2 linked regions of the Oreochromis niloticus genome follow. The main gene of each other region encodes a partner of the protein of the gene in region 2 in a complex. Links are inferred from orthologs where the notes say so. Each region holds a gene or a part of one and is shown on either strand. Other genes may lie near its edges.

Region 1 (7,005 bases), on a different chromosome or scaffold from region 2:
TTAAAAGACAAGAAATGGCAGGTAAAAAATAGACACTTTGATAAAGAACACAGGAGAGACAGGGATTTACACGCTTACTGCGATAAGATCAATGCTTTAAGCTCAGTATGGTGCCCACATACAGAAATGGGACATTAAAATATATGCCTCAAACATGTCGGAGAAAAAAAAGGGGGAAACTATTAGGATAATGACGCAGGAGATGTCAAACTAAATGCAAAACACAGGAGACAATGACTACCAAAATAAAACAGGAAATGAAAGATAGCCACGGAAACAGGGAGACACTTAGATACAAGAACTTTACGGGATGAATAACAATAAAAGAACAAACTCTAACTGAGAAGAAAAGAGGAACAGGATACTAATGGAAAAAAACCCAATGAAACCAGACTTACAGAAACAATACCAAGAACCAGACGGCCTGAAGGAAGAATGGAAATAAAAACCAAAAAATTAAACACAACTCTGAAAACCGTGAGTTCAGAAACCGACCTACGTGCCAAATATAGAGACTTTTAACTTGAAAAGGCAACTGATGTAGGAAAGCAGAGTGTTGTGATCTATGGCATAAATCATCATCACTTCAAAAATTCTGGACACACTTTAATGACCACTAAACCTCTGTGATTTTTTACAATAACTAGTTTATCTTTTCATGGATTTTGACTCTGGAATATCTGTTTTTAATTTGTTGTATGAATAAAATACAACACTTCATTATATTCAGACGTCTTTCATGGTTCATTTTTGAGGTATATTTTTTTCTGCTCCAGTACAACCATTTATCTAACTGATTTTAAGTGGGCTGGATGTATAATTAAATGTCTTAATACGGCCTTTAGGTGATCAGTCTGCTAAAGTAACAGCTGAGATGACTGTGGCAAGGACCACATACACACACACACACAGCGTTGTCAGTTTGCTCAGTTTATTGTCTATGGCAGTAGATTCTGTTGTTTTGGTGCTCTGCACGCTGGAAACAGTCACTCCACGTTTTTCTGCTCTGCTGTCACTGAAAAAGCCAAGAAGATGTCATCTAACCTGACCCAGCACACCTGTGTTTCAACCACGCCTCCCTGTGAGCTCACTGTGTCGCCCCTCCTCTGCAGCAGGCCAGAGGCCACACCTCCACCACAATGACTCTAAACAATGCATTGCTTTCTCACTCACTGCAACCTACATGGCTCTGCTTGATGCTGCTGAGTCACATGACCACAGGAGATCGGAATGCAGCAGAGCAGGGAGGAGGGGGCGGAGCAAAGCGTGCCTGCATGAGAGGAGCATTGCTTCCACACACGTCTCCTTTCTGATGAATGAGAGCAACTTACAGGGGACAGACAAACTAAAGCATTGAGCGTATCGGGCTAGTATCGATCCAATACCAGCCCCAGTATCAGTTCTATTGATATTTTACTGCATAAAATGATATTAAATTAAATAGAGTACCATCGTAGTAATAATAAACACACAACTGAACTAAACAGATGCCCTCCCATAGATCATTGTTTTGTCACAGTCACCAGTCCAGCTACTTTATTAGTGTCAGGATTGTGTATTATAGTGAACGATCGCCTCCTCGTTGTTGTTTTCTAAGAGCACTAACACTGTCACCCTCCTGCAGGATACTACTCATGGAGAAACACAACCTACGGCTCCTGGTTCATACTGACGTTGTGTGAGATGTTGGAGTGCTACAGTGGGAAGCTGGATCTGATGCAGATCATGACGCGAGTCAACTACGGTGTTTCACGCTACTTCGAGTCCTCCAGCAACCTGCCTGGATTTGCTCGCAATAAGCAGATCCCCTGTATCGTCTGTATGTTGACCAAAGACTTTTACTTCCCCGTCTAGATTTACATGGTTGAACCTCAGTGATCTTTGTTCTCCTTGACCAAATGCAAAGTCTGATGCTGTGCTGCAGCTGATGCAAAGCAGGATGACAGTGATTTAAATGTGACTAAACCCATTTGCACAATCTGCACTTAGATTAGTGATACTTTTATTGATTTTAGTGTTGGATCAGTTTACCTTTTATATTTTGTGTGTTTATGTATGTTTGTATTAAAGTGAAAAAAACCATTAACAGTGTTGCGACAGTTTTGGGCGCTCCACATGTTTTCGCCATCTGTCGTATTTTTATGTTTTGTTGGCCTAACAAGGGCATGTTTTTGGACCTCATATTGAGAGTTCTAGTGAACATCTACCAAACTCAGGTTCAACACTTTGAATCATCAGTTCTTTCTGAGCTTTTGAAAATGGGAGGTTATGTGTAAAACATTTAATTCAATACATGTGTTAAAATCCTTGAATTGAAGCTGAAGGTCCGCACTTCAGTCACATCTTCTTTGTTTGATTTAAAGTCCGCTCTGGTGGAGTGCAGAAGCAGGAGTCCACACACTCACGGAGCTGACCATGTGACAGGCCAGATGTTTTGTATTTTGAACCAACTGTGTGAACATGCAGCCACTAGAGGAGGCCAGAGAAACAACTAATGTGATTCTCAGAGGCCTTTAATGACTCAGCAGTTTTGCAGAGGTTCCAGGAACTGAAACTGTGGCCCGGTTTAACCCTTGATGCATCGACCATGTGGAAGTGCTAATTTGAAAACGAGAAAAGAAATAAGACTTTCTGTTTAGACAGTTGTCAGCTTCTTCTTCTTCTTTTTCTAATTCTTCCGTTTTTCTTTTTAACCATCTGTATTCTGTGTATAAGGCAGCTTCTGTCTGGGGCCCACTGCTGTGAAATACAAACTCCTTGGATAGGTTTGTCAGACCCCTCCCGGGCTCAGCTGTGTGTGTCACAGAGATAACCCTGACCCTGTGGAGAGCTGGCACACACTTTCCATTTGTTGAGGATCAATTGTGGAGGTTGGAGCTTCTCAGACATCGCGTTTTCCATTCCCAGATTTTGACAAAGCTGTTTTCTCTTTGCTGTAAACAGAAACAGTGTGCTGAGTGAGTCACCGGCAGCACAAATGACACCAAATGTAACAATCATTAATGAATGGGGAATTTCAGTACGTGTGAGTGTGCCAGTGGAAGCCTTATCTTCAGAGTTTCCATTAAAAACAGACACATGTCATGCATACATGCATGCTGCTGTGTTGGGAATCTGTCGATCTGCTGCTAGCTTGCAGACATTTTCATGTGAAACTGCACAGCTCAGTTTCGATTCTCCTTTTTAAAGAATGAACGGAATCACTGCGTGCACTACTCTAAACTGCAGCTTGACTCTGGGACCCCACCGCCACAGCTACACACTTAGAGGAGAGACATTACAAAGGTGTCCTTTCCACACAACGGCAGGTGTGCTGCTGCCAACCCCTTAAACACACACACGGTTGTGAGAAGTTTCTAGTTTCGTTTCCAGTTGCAGCGGCGGAGAAAAAAGAGGAGATGTGGGGGCGACGGGGGGGAGAGAGACACAGAGGAAGTGAAAATGAAATTCAGCTCAAAGATCGTCTATGTCCTAAGAATAAACGTTCCGGGGGGGCGGTCATTTCCGCCGTGTGTCAACCTGCTTATACATTTAAACACGTATTTGCTACAGTTGGCTAGGACATTGATGTATTCAGGTACTAGTCACTGAGCTATGTATATATATCCCAGACGTGCAGACGTTTAATGTTGGTGTTTTGCAATGGCGTGGCAAGGTGAATGGTAAATACTAGAATTTAGACCAATTTTATTTTTAGGTGATTCTATCCTACGCTGTTCTGTATCAGAGCACGTGACTCCTGTGCAATCTGACGGATAATTATCCCAGAAAGTAAAGCTAAGCTACGAGCATTAGGCTAATCTTAAATGTCATGGTTGCCGCCAAAAAAACAAACAGATAACCCGCCCCCCCAAAAAGATAATAATAATAATAAAAAAAAAACACAACGGAGTGAGCCATCTTCGCTTCGACGTGTGCGAGCGCACGCGAGACTTCACGACGCTCGAGACCGACCCAAAGCGAGAGCACGAGAGCAGGAGGGGGATTTCCAGCTCTGGCCCCCACTTCCCGAAGCGGCCGTTGTTTTGCTTTCGGTCTGAATGCAGAAACAGAAATAAACGACGACCACACTTTCCCTTTTCCACTTAAAACCTCGAACACGTTAACCTGTCCGGCTTTGGCTGCTCTTCTTATTCCGACAGCGGGACTGTGGAGCCCGAGGCCGTCCAAACCTAACAGGTAACATCTTATTTCCGCATATTAACGTCGCTGCCTTGCGCTCCCCTGGCCACACTGACTTCCTACAGGGCGACATGACGGATCCCTAGCTCAAGTGAAAGTAGTTCTGCAGTTTGTCTCCGCGTTTCATGACTCGGTATGGGATTTATTTTCACTTTTGACTTCGTTGTTTTGGGTCAGCTCGGTGGCAGGCGGTAGACACACAGAGCGCGATAAACTTCTGACTTGCCCCCGCTGCTAAAGCAGACTCGACTCCAGAACAAACATGTTACTAACATTGGAAAGTCAGCGGTGATGTGGCTGTTTACCTGGAATTAGTTAATATTTGCTAGCATCCTCCCGCTATAACGTAGACTCTTTGAAGTGTACAGTGTTTATCTGTTTGTAACTGTGTGTATTTACCGTGTTATAATCTGAGTAGCAGCGGGACTGAGCCGTGAACAGTATTCAGGTCTTAGTGCGTGTCATTTACACTGAAAACACTACAAGTGTTATATTGTCTGAACTCCGTGACGGGTAACTTACCATGTTTAGCAGTATAAAAATAAATGTGCTATACACTGAAGAAATAATAATAGTAATACTATTAATAATTTAAAAAGTACTACTGATGTTATAATATTGAATGTTATATTCTTAAATGTACAGTTGGACTATATTTGAGTGTAGACACCGTTATGTACACAGTGTAAATACATATTTAAATTCTTCTTGATCCAATTTTTCCGCCATATCAGCAGCAAATGTTCCTCATTGTGCAATTAGTAAAAAGAACAGAAGAAAGCACACATATTGCCACGCACTGTGATGACATGTTGGTCAGAAATCAGTATAGTTTGCGTCAACGGTTTAACCGCATTCATTTAACCCTAAAGTCCCGCTGTGATGATTCCCTCTTCCACCAATTAAACATCTGCTTGTTGAAATGTATTCACACCATGTGCTGTTCTCTCAGAGGACTTAGATGTAGTCTGTCTCACTGAAAAACTGAGCGGAAACATTAAATAGTGCTGAGTTAAGTGAACTTGGCGAATGTGTTAAAATAGATCTGGGTCTTTTTTTTTTCTTCAATTGTCTTTCTGTTAGAAAATGTCTTCTGTCAGTGTCAGATACTCTGACATAAAACTGTAAGTTTTTACAGGTATATTTGTAGTTAAACTGCATGTCTGTGAATGACCAAAATATTAATATCCACAGATGTAATTTAAGAACAAAGAGATGCTCATATTTGTGAATGTGAGCGTGCTGCTTTTAACGTGTGAGGCAAGCTGCGGTCAGAACTTGGGTGATAAATGAGGATGAAGAGATGCCTGTGTCGTTTTTACTATTTATGAAATAATGAGCAGTCTTATCTGTGAATAAATAAATCATTTTCCTGTCTTGAGTCACTCGTGTGACTGTAAGTAACCTGTGTGAATGATTTCTAACTGATGCCGTGTGTCATGTAGTCTGTTGGGAACACCTGAGACTGTCGTCTCTCTTTGCAAGATCACCAAAAGTCTGCTTTTGAAGCGCACAGCACAGTTTGTTTGCACAGTGATCAGTGCAGCGCCCCCTGTTGCAACTGAGTTAAACAGCAGTGGCACATTTCATCATATGTAAACTTAATGTGCTTCATATATGAGATAAAAAACATTAAAAAAAAACTGTAGGATTACAGTGCCTTGAAGTAAACAAGTGTAAGCTTGCACGAACAAAAAGGTTTTGAGTCTGTTTTTGAATGCTTGCATAGGTGTAACTGATCTCAGGTCAGCAGTACCTGAAAGCACCCGCAGCATACTTGGATCTGCTTGTAGGAGCGTTTGCCCTGCACCTGATGGCAGTCTGACTGGGTTGTAAACAGTGAGCAAGTCAAAGATGCTTCAGGTGTGCAAACCACCGAGAGCTTTGTGCTGATCGGACTTTAAAGGTGAAATATCAGTTTGTGTTTGCTGAAGTCATTTGTGTTGAGATTTGGTGACACAAAGCTGCCTCTTATTGATATTTGCGGGGGTTGTTTAGTTTTCCTTTTCGAGCACCAGGGGCTGGGTTGAAGTGGGACGTGGGCCCTGTGTTTTGGCCATGTGTGCCATTTGTACTGCACTCCTTGTGTCTTTTTCAGCTTGTGTTTTCTGTAGTGATATTGTGAGCTTTCACTGAACAGACGCAGCTGAAAGGCTCAGCCTTGTTTGATATTTTGGATTTGATGCTGCGCTGTTTCACCTTGTTTAACCTGTTGGGGAAGCACTGCGCTGGCAGGGAGTGTCAGCCTGACTGGACTTTGATCACGTTTGTGTGCAGAGATCATCACCCTGCCCTTAAATCAAATGTAGCGGCATGGGTGGGCTAAAGTTTTCTGGGACGGTTATGAGCTCTGTTTGTTTTTTCCTGTTGTCCTCTTGTTCCATTGTTGTTTTATTTAAGGTGTCGTTCTCTGGAACAAACAGCGCGAGGCTGAGTGTAGAGCTACAAACATGAGCTGACATTTTTATTTATGAACCGTGTTTTATGGCTGCTGTTCTTTGCGCACACATTAAAGAGCCTGGCCAAGAGTCTTATCTTTACAAGCACACACAGATCTGATTCAACTGTGTTCCACACCTTACTCTGAAATGATGACTATGAATGGGGAAAAAACATCAGTGGGGGGCCTGCTATGCTCATTTCCAGCTCTACTTGAGTAGCTCTGGATGATTCATGGTTCAGAATCGTTCTTGTTTGTCGTTGGCTTGGTGCAGCCGCTCAGTTCATCCTGTGTGAAACAAGATGTTTTGGCTCTTGTTGGCACAGTGAGCACCACAGCAGATCACGTATTACAGCATTTCTATTTTTTTTTAAAGTTGCTAC
Region 2 (7,575 bases):
TATCAAACCATGTGAAAAACTACATGACACAATAAATAAATATTTAAATATATACAAATATACATATATACAACATTCTATGAACAGCACACATACTTTAATCACTTACACATATAACAACACACCATGACAAAACTCTATTAACCATGTCACAGAGGCTCTTAAAGAGATTACTGAGCTACTGCAGCCATCTACCACAACCAGCTGGGAATAAAGGGAGGAACACGGGACAAAAGGCAAACTGGGCATTTGACTGGTCAGTTAACTGGAGTTTTCCACTTCACGTCAGTTCATCTGTAATTAGCTCAGACCCAGAAAAAGTGAATGCACTTCTAGATTATTTATAATTTTTTGCATAGTTTGAACTTGCACAATAAACAACAATAAACTACACATTTAAAATAACAGTTGAGTGGTAAGGAGGTTATACTATGAGACAGAGCAGGAATTTATATATTTACATCAGTGTTAAAAAACAAAACAAAGACAATCAAAATGAAGTTAGTTAAAAACAGTAAAAGTAAGACTGACGTTGTGTAGGCGAGAAGTGCAGATTGCATTAATGAAAATCTTTTGCCTGACAGGTGTGTAAACCTGTCACAGAATGAAGTTATTCTACAGCTTTATAGAGAATGGTAGGAAAGGCTTTCTAAAGTGTTCTTTATGGCAGCGAGGTTGAATCACTCTGCTGCCTCAGAGGTATGGAGTGGAGTGGGTGTGATGGGCTGTCCCTGATGGAGAGGGTAGGTTCAGTGACCTCCTGCCCCTCACTGACTCAAACATCTCCAAATTCTGACCAATGATGCTTCCAGCCTGCAGATTAGTTTGTTCATCCTGCTGGCATCTCTGGCACTGATGCTGCCCCCCAGCAGACAGCAGCAAACTAGATGGTACTCACTACCACAGAAGAAGATCTCCAACATCTTGCTGCACACATTAAAGCATATGAGCTTCATTAGAAAGTACAGTAATTCTTGATATGTTTAAAAAATGTTCTCTCAAGTTTGGGTAATGAGAGTAGGAATAATCATTCCTACATGCCTGAGTCTACTGTCTACCATGTATAGTCCAGTTTGGAAATCCTTCCCAGATGCCTTAACGCCCACTCACGTCTTGGGCCATTTGTTCTCAGTAAGTCACATGACATGGGTGGGCAAGGTCTCACAGTGGGTTCACCTGAAACCTTGGCTGATTGTGACCCACACCCGTTTTCACACCTTGGCTCGTGTGATTAGCCAGAGGATCAATAGGGGGTCCACGACCCTCTTTGGGACATTCCCAATAGGGCTTACGAGGTAGGGACTCTACACCAGTTGCTCTTAGAACTAAAGAAGCTTCCTGGACGAGAGGTGAAACATCTTCAAGAAAGTTAAAGAAGTCCAGAGACTAAACCTTAATCTGACCTCCCCCTAACCTTGACAAATGTAACTACATGTTGTGTTGTCATAGTCCTCTCATCCATTTCTGGCCTCTCAGCAGGTTTTTAATTAACTGGAAGGAAACAGAGAGATAAACTCCACCAACAGTTAGTGTTTTGGCAGAAAACTGCAGTGCAACAAAGAAACACCACATACAAGTAGAAATGCTTCCAATGGTGTCGGCCACTTGCGTAGGCTCTATGGATTCAACACTGAAGTTAAAGTCTCAAGTGAGACCTCGGAGTGTTAATGAGCACATTCATTTATTTCTTTGTATAGGTTTCCCATCATTCAGATCATGGCAGTCTTAAGCACTTGAGTTGAAAGCAACTGGACTTCTACTTGTTTTTTAGGTTCTTAAGGATGTTTCCCCTACTCCTCCAAAATCTTTGATGAAGTAGCCTTTTGGTTGAGAGGTTACACTTCATGTAACCTTACTGGATTTCAGATCTGCCATTGTCTTCCTCTCCCACTGAAGATTTGACTAAATGCAGCTCATGTTTGACTGTCGTGCAGAATGCAAAGAGTTCTCTGCTCCTACATATTTGCCTACAGCGGCCAGTGTTACACTGGCAAAACAGGATACATTGTTCTGCCTTTTCCCTCTTACTTTCTTTCCCTCATTGCCTCCATCACTGACTGAGTAAGTGAGACACGTCATGATGTCTGTAAGCCTGACTGGAGAGATGATGATTGTAGGGTCTCTACCTTACAATGTAGAGGCGACTATAGTTGTGATTTGCCACTAGATACATAAACTGAATTGAGTGAGTCTTGGCCAACAATTCTTGCTTTTGGGACCAAGGTCACCTCTTTAATCATAATTTAATGCACAGAACTTCTAGGCTCAGCCAAGTAGGGGCTGACTCTGGTGGCTTATCTCTGCTAAATCTCTGCATTTTGCAGATGATATGGTTCCTTTGGACTCCTCAGGCTGTGATCTTCAGCTCATACTGGGATAGTTTGCAGTCAAATAGAGCTAAAATGGAAAAAGAATAGGCTGGTGGATGACCAGTCAATCGTTTATGTTCCTATGTTGTATCAGTCTGTGTTTCTACCCTGAACTATGGCCATGAGCTGTGGATGGTGTCCAGGACATGCTGGAGGGATTACATCTCTTGGCTGATTTGTGGTGTCCACCCAGTAGATCTGGAGATGATGACCAGGAAGAGTGAAATCTGGGTGTCACTGTAGAAAATAGATGGATAAATGGACATCTATATGATGTCTCACAGGTGTTTTCATCACCAGTTTTCTACACTGTACTTAATTCTAATCAATTATGCTGATTATCCTGTGCCTTTGGGCTTTACCTGCATTTTATAAACTTGAAAATAGATGCTAATTTTAATGCAACTGGATATATTATCACTTTAAGTTTAATGCCTTTCTATTACTACAGTTTTTTAAAATACTTTCCATTTCTATCATATTTTACTTCAAAAAGTAGGTTTTCGTTGAATTACTGCCAGTTGAGTCATTGCTTTCTATTGCTATAACTTGTGTGTGAGGAGAAACTAGAGAGCAGTGGAAGTGATTTCATACCAGTGAGAGGAAAATGATCAGCTCAGCTCAGCAGAAGACTGAATAGAGGGGAGGGAGGTTTACAGTTTGCCTGGTAACAGCAGCTTAATTCTGGGATTGGCTTCTACAGTGGTGATGTCAGATGTGCCTGGCAACGAGACTGGAATGCAACAGAGGGATTTAACACCCACTCAGCGTCACACCGAACTCCTAAACAGAACTGCTTTAACACTGGTTGCCTTGACACTGCAGAGTTGATTATTTAAATCGGAAGATTATTTTTTCACTGTCTACATCTTTGGTATTTAGAAAAACACTTGGAGCCCTGCAAACAAAGATGAGAGCTGAGAGAAAAGAGGTCTCACTCTGCCTCTAATTCCACGCATCCCTTTTGAAACCCAGTATAATATGTCGTGAAGCAGGTCGGCGCCGGTGTCTTTAAAAGCTGCATTTGGATCCACATACAGCCTTGTTTATTATGTTATTGTCTTTTTACATGTGTACACTCATTACACTGAGTTTAAATTACACACACACAGAGGACTGTATTTAACTAGTTGCTGCCATTTTAATATTGTTGTTTATATTTTTCAAGGTTCTACTGATGTATCTCTAATGTTTTGCTATTTTACCACTAATACAGAAAGAGTTAAATTTGCATATTAGTACAACAGAACATGAAGATGGCTTCATCTTTCAGCTCTGAACAGTCCTGCTTTGTAAACACTCAGTGAGGCCTGAGAGGTGTGTTACAAAGGAAGTTCAATACAGCCGGGGTTTCTTTGTGTTAACTGGTTTAACAAAATCTCTCAAGTCACATGGCTCAACGAACACCTTTCAGAAAAACATCCTTTGAATGCAGCTCACTCCATCGAAGACATTATCAGATGATGATAAAGTAGTGATTAAAGTCTTTAAAGAACATTAAAAATGAACAGCAAAAAGAATCAGTGTTGCAATTAAGATAAGAAATTGGTCTGTTTTCCTTCTCTCACCGCAACCAGTCGCAGCAGATGGCCCCGCCCCTCCCTGAGCCTGGTTCTGTTGGAGGTTTCTTCCTGTTAAAAGGGAGTTTTTCCTTCCCACTGTCGCCAAAGTGCTTGTTCATAGGGGGTCATATGATTGTTGGGTTTTCCTCTGTATGTATTATTGTAGGGTCTACCTTACAATATAAAGCGCCTTCAGGCGACTGTTACTGTGATAAACAATATTGAATTGAATTGAAATTAATGACAGAGAAAATCTTTATTCTAGAGATGTAGCGCACAGAGCGATAAAATAAAGCTTTTTCCACTAATTTCACTTGATCATTTTGTGTCTCAGTGCACTCTCAGTGCTGCAGTTTGCTTCTAAGATGATGGCAGCACATTAGCGCTGTGAAACTTTAAATTGCATCCATTTAAACATAAAAGCTTACAGTCCCACAGCCTGGAGATGTGGAAATTACTTCAGTTTGACACAGATCAAAGTGAAATGATTTCTCTAGATTGAATAGCTGTTCAATTTAGACAAATCGCTGCCGTGTTTTATTACGGTCCCAATAAAACACAGAGTGGTCCCTCTTCGCGGGCATACACATCTTCAAGAGTAAACGCTCCGGACAAAGATAGAAAAATGGTGAGCATGCGCGTCGTCGAAGAATCCAGTAAATAGAACCCCGGAGCACGAGCCGAGTGTCGTTGCTGACGTCACGGCCGTACGTTGAGAGCTGGAGCTGAGTTGTAAGCGCGAGCTCAGACGGAGGCGCGCCGAGGGAACAGCTACAGCTATGGTGCTCTGTTCTTCTTCGTGAGGACGAAATCAGCCACTTTTATTCTCGTTGACGTATTTTTCCGTCTTCTCTGCGACGTAAACAAGCTGTCGGACATTTTGAAATCGCTTCGGGGATACAATATGTCCTCCACGGCGGTCGCTGCCTCCAGAAGGCAGTCCTGTTATTTATGCGACTTGCCCCGCATGCCGTGGGCGATGATCTGGGATTTTACCGAACCCGTCTGCCGTGGATGTGTGAACTACGAAGGTGCCGACCGGATTGAATTCGTTATCGAGACTGCCAGGCAGCTAAAGAGAGCACACGGCTTTCAGGACGGCCGCTCTCCGGGCCCGGGGAAACCCCAGCACGCCGGGAAAGAGATCAATCACTCGGTTGGAGACCCGGGCTCCCGTCCCCCTCAACCTCTGGATCGTTATCCGCTGTCAGACAGGCCGCCGCGGCTGGGCCCGGAGTACCAGGCGGGCAGGCAGTCGAACGGCCTCCCGATGCCCAACGGATTTCCCAAACCCGACGAGCCCCCTGAGCTAAACCGCCAAAGCCCCAACCCCCGCAGGACTAGCACGGTTCCTCCCAGCTTGGTGCCTTTGGTAAACGGCGGGATACCTGCCATACATCCGCTCAGCGGCCGCCCGACACAGATCGGTCTGACCGGCGCTCTGATCGCGCCTGTCCCCGGGGAGCACGGCAAGCGCCCGGAGGAGCTGAAAGACAAGCACCGGGCGGACAGCATGTCGGACATGTCGGACAGCCACAAGGACTGGATAAACAAAGGCAAAACTGTCAGGGACCTGATGCTGCACACGTTCGACGGCAGGGTAAAGAAGGACCACACCGCCATGCAGCGGGTCATGGCGTACGAAATGAGTGGCACTTCCTCAAAAACAGGTAGGCTGTTTGTTTTGTGTCTGCACTAGAATGTGGTGAGCTGGCACGCGCCATGAAAACGGGAACTAAACAGCAGGGAACTAATGTGTCAGCACTTTGCACACACGGTGTGTCGTGCATTTACGCCATCGTGAAGGGTCCGCCCAGCCACGCTGCTGGCACGCACCCGTTCACCTCTGTGTGAGAGAGCAGTACGGGAGCAGGTGTGTGTGTGGTTGTTGGGGGGGGGGTAGAAATGAGCTGCCTCGTATTCTGCACAGGCCGGGATGTTTGTGTGTACCTAGCGTGGCGTTAACCCTGCTGCTTTTCCTTTGCACAGACAGGGGGAAGCACCCTCGGCCTGGGAAGAGGAAGGCCTCCCCTGAGCCAGATGGTGAGAGCAGTGCCCCCAAGATGAATGGCAGTGAGGGCCAGCCATGGCTCCCCTCACCCTCTGAAGTCCTGAAGATGCCCCCAGCTGCCCTACCAGGCTTCTCTGCGGCGCCTCCATCAACCATCTCCCCCCACTCCCGCACCACACCGCCTGAGGCTGCCACAGCGCAGAATGGCCAGTCCCCCATGACTGCACTCATCCTCGCCACTGACAACGCAGGCAGCACCGGCTCACCTAAGGACGGCAGCCAGGTACATTCCACCGTGGCGGGGGCACGACGGAACAGCGGGAGCCCCCTCTCACCCTCACAGAGGAGGCTGGCCCAGAGAGAGGGGCCCGTGAGCGCCAACCCCTCCGCTCCGCATGGTCCCGGCAGTATGGAGCCACCGCCGCAGAGCATTCCGGATTCCTCTGTGCCACCGAGCAGCATGCCGCTGTGTTGCACTCTGTGCCATGAGCGGCTAGAGGACACTCATTTTGTCCAGTGCCCTTCAGTGCCCTCTCACAAGTTCTGTTTCCCCTGCTCCCGGGAGAGCATCAAGCAGCAGGGGGCCACCGGCGAGGTGTACTGTCCCAGTGGTGAAAGGTGCCCGCTGGTTGGCTCCAATGTACCCTGGGCCTTCATGCAGGGGGAAATAACCACCATATTGGCCGGAGATATAAAGGTAAAAAAGGAGCGGGACCCTTAAAAAGTTCTCAGACTGCTTCTCGTGAACTTTTTTCCCTCTTGTAACCCAAGTATGGCAACAACAGCAGGACATAAAGTAACAGACGCAGCTCACCCAGCAAACCTCAGAGGAGCTGGCAGACATGTACATAGTGAACGCAGGGGAGTGTATACTTCATAAATGTGGCAGTAAAATTTGACTTTTTTCTTTAATACATTGTTTCTTACTGTGTTTCCAGTAAGACTTTTCCTTTTTCCCACCACAGCTGTTTCTTCTCAGTCTGTCGTTGTACTTTAGGTCTGCAGACAGTCCCTGTCGAGCATAGAATGTGACTAATTTGAGCACTTGGCAAAATCCTTTAATAAATGAAACAAAAAATGCTTCTAGCTGTACATGTATGCACTTGTTTAAGAAAAAAACTTGCCAAATACAGTTTCAGACCTTGTAATAATACCCCCAGTGTCTCTGTGGTTTGCTTATTTTCCATAATCCTGGAGTTGGTCGGAGAGTCATGGCCTGATTGTGAATCAGTCATGATGCAATCCCTCCCAGCAGGAACAAACTGGCTTCCAGGGAACAGTGGGTGGAAGGGGAAAAGTCAGGGAGCGAGGGAGATGGAAGAGGGGGGATGAAGGCCGCAGTAGAAGTGCGTTGCATAAATGTACTGTAAATCGCACGTGGGCGAGCCGAGGCTGCTCGGCGCTGAGGCCTCGTGCCCTGTGAGTGCGGGGGGAGATAAGGAGGGCCTAAAAATAGTCACTGTGGCTTCAAAGTGACGCCTGCTCAGGCGTTTGTTGATGTCAAAACAACTGCCTCATATGTCCTGTTTGGGCACTTTGTTTGGATCTAGAGGTTTTCTCTTTGCTTCTCCCTCATCGACCCAAATCAGCCTGACATCTCGTCAGATGCTGGCAGCAGATCAGAGCTGTTGCT

What was found.
Region 1: the proteins of irf2bp2b (region 2) and irf2b are in contact, whole or in part, in a crystal structure (PDB 8YTG), measured with the Homo sapiens proteins. The link is inferred for Oreochromis niloticus from reciprocal best matches to the Homo sapiens genes IRF2BP2 and IRF2. Residues at the interface, in NP_892017.2 of Homo sapiens: His517, Phe518, Val519, Gln520, Pro522, Phe531, Leu557, Trp564, Ala565, Phe566, Met567, Glu570, Thr573, Ile574; in NP_002190.2 of Homo sapiens: Arg331, Ala332, Ser333, Val334, Ile335, Lys336.

Annotation. Positions count from the first base shown.
Region 1 is NC_031966.2:34,358,042-34,365,046, forward strand, and holds the start of irf2b (interferon regulatory factor 2), read left to right. Parts: upstream 1-3,974; 5' UTR 3,975-4,179; intron 4,180-4,203; exon of another isoform or gene 4,204-4,315; intron 4,316-7,005. Other genes in the region: caspase-3, read left to right, coding at 1,625-1,854. UniProt on the Homo sapiens protein: Specifically binds to the upstream regulatory region of type I IFN and IFN-inducible MHC class I genes (the interferon consensus sequence (ICS)) and represses those genes. Also acts as an activator for several genes including H4 and IL7.
Region 2 is NC_031971.2:4,315,723-4,323,297, reverse strand, and holds the start of irf2bp2b (interferon regulatory factor 2-binding protein 2-B), read left to right. Parts: upstream 1-4,570; 5' UTR 4,571-4,835; coding exon 4,836-5,601; intron 5,602-5,920; coding exon 5,921-6,663; 3' UTR 6,664-7,575. UniProt on the Homo sapiens protein: Acts as a transcriptional corepressor in a IRF2-dependent manner; this repression is not mediated by histone deacetylase activities. Represses the NFAT1-dependent transactivation of NFAT-responsive promoters.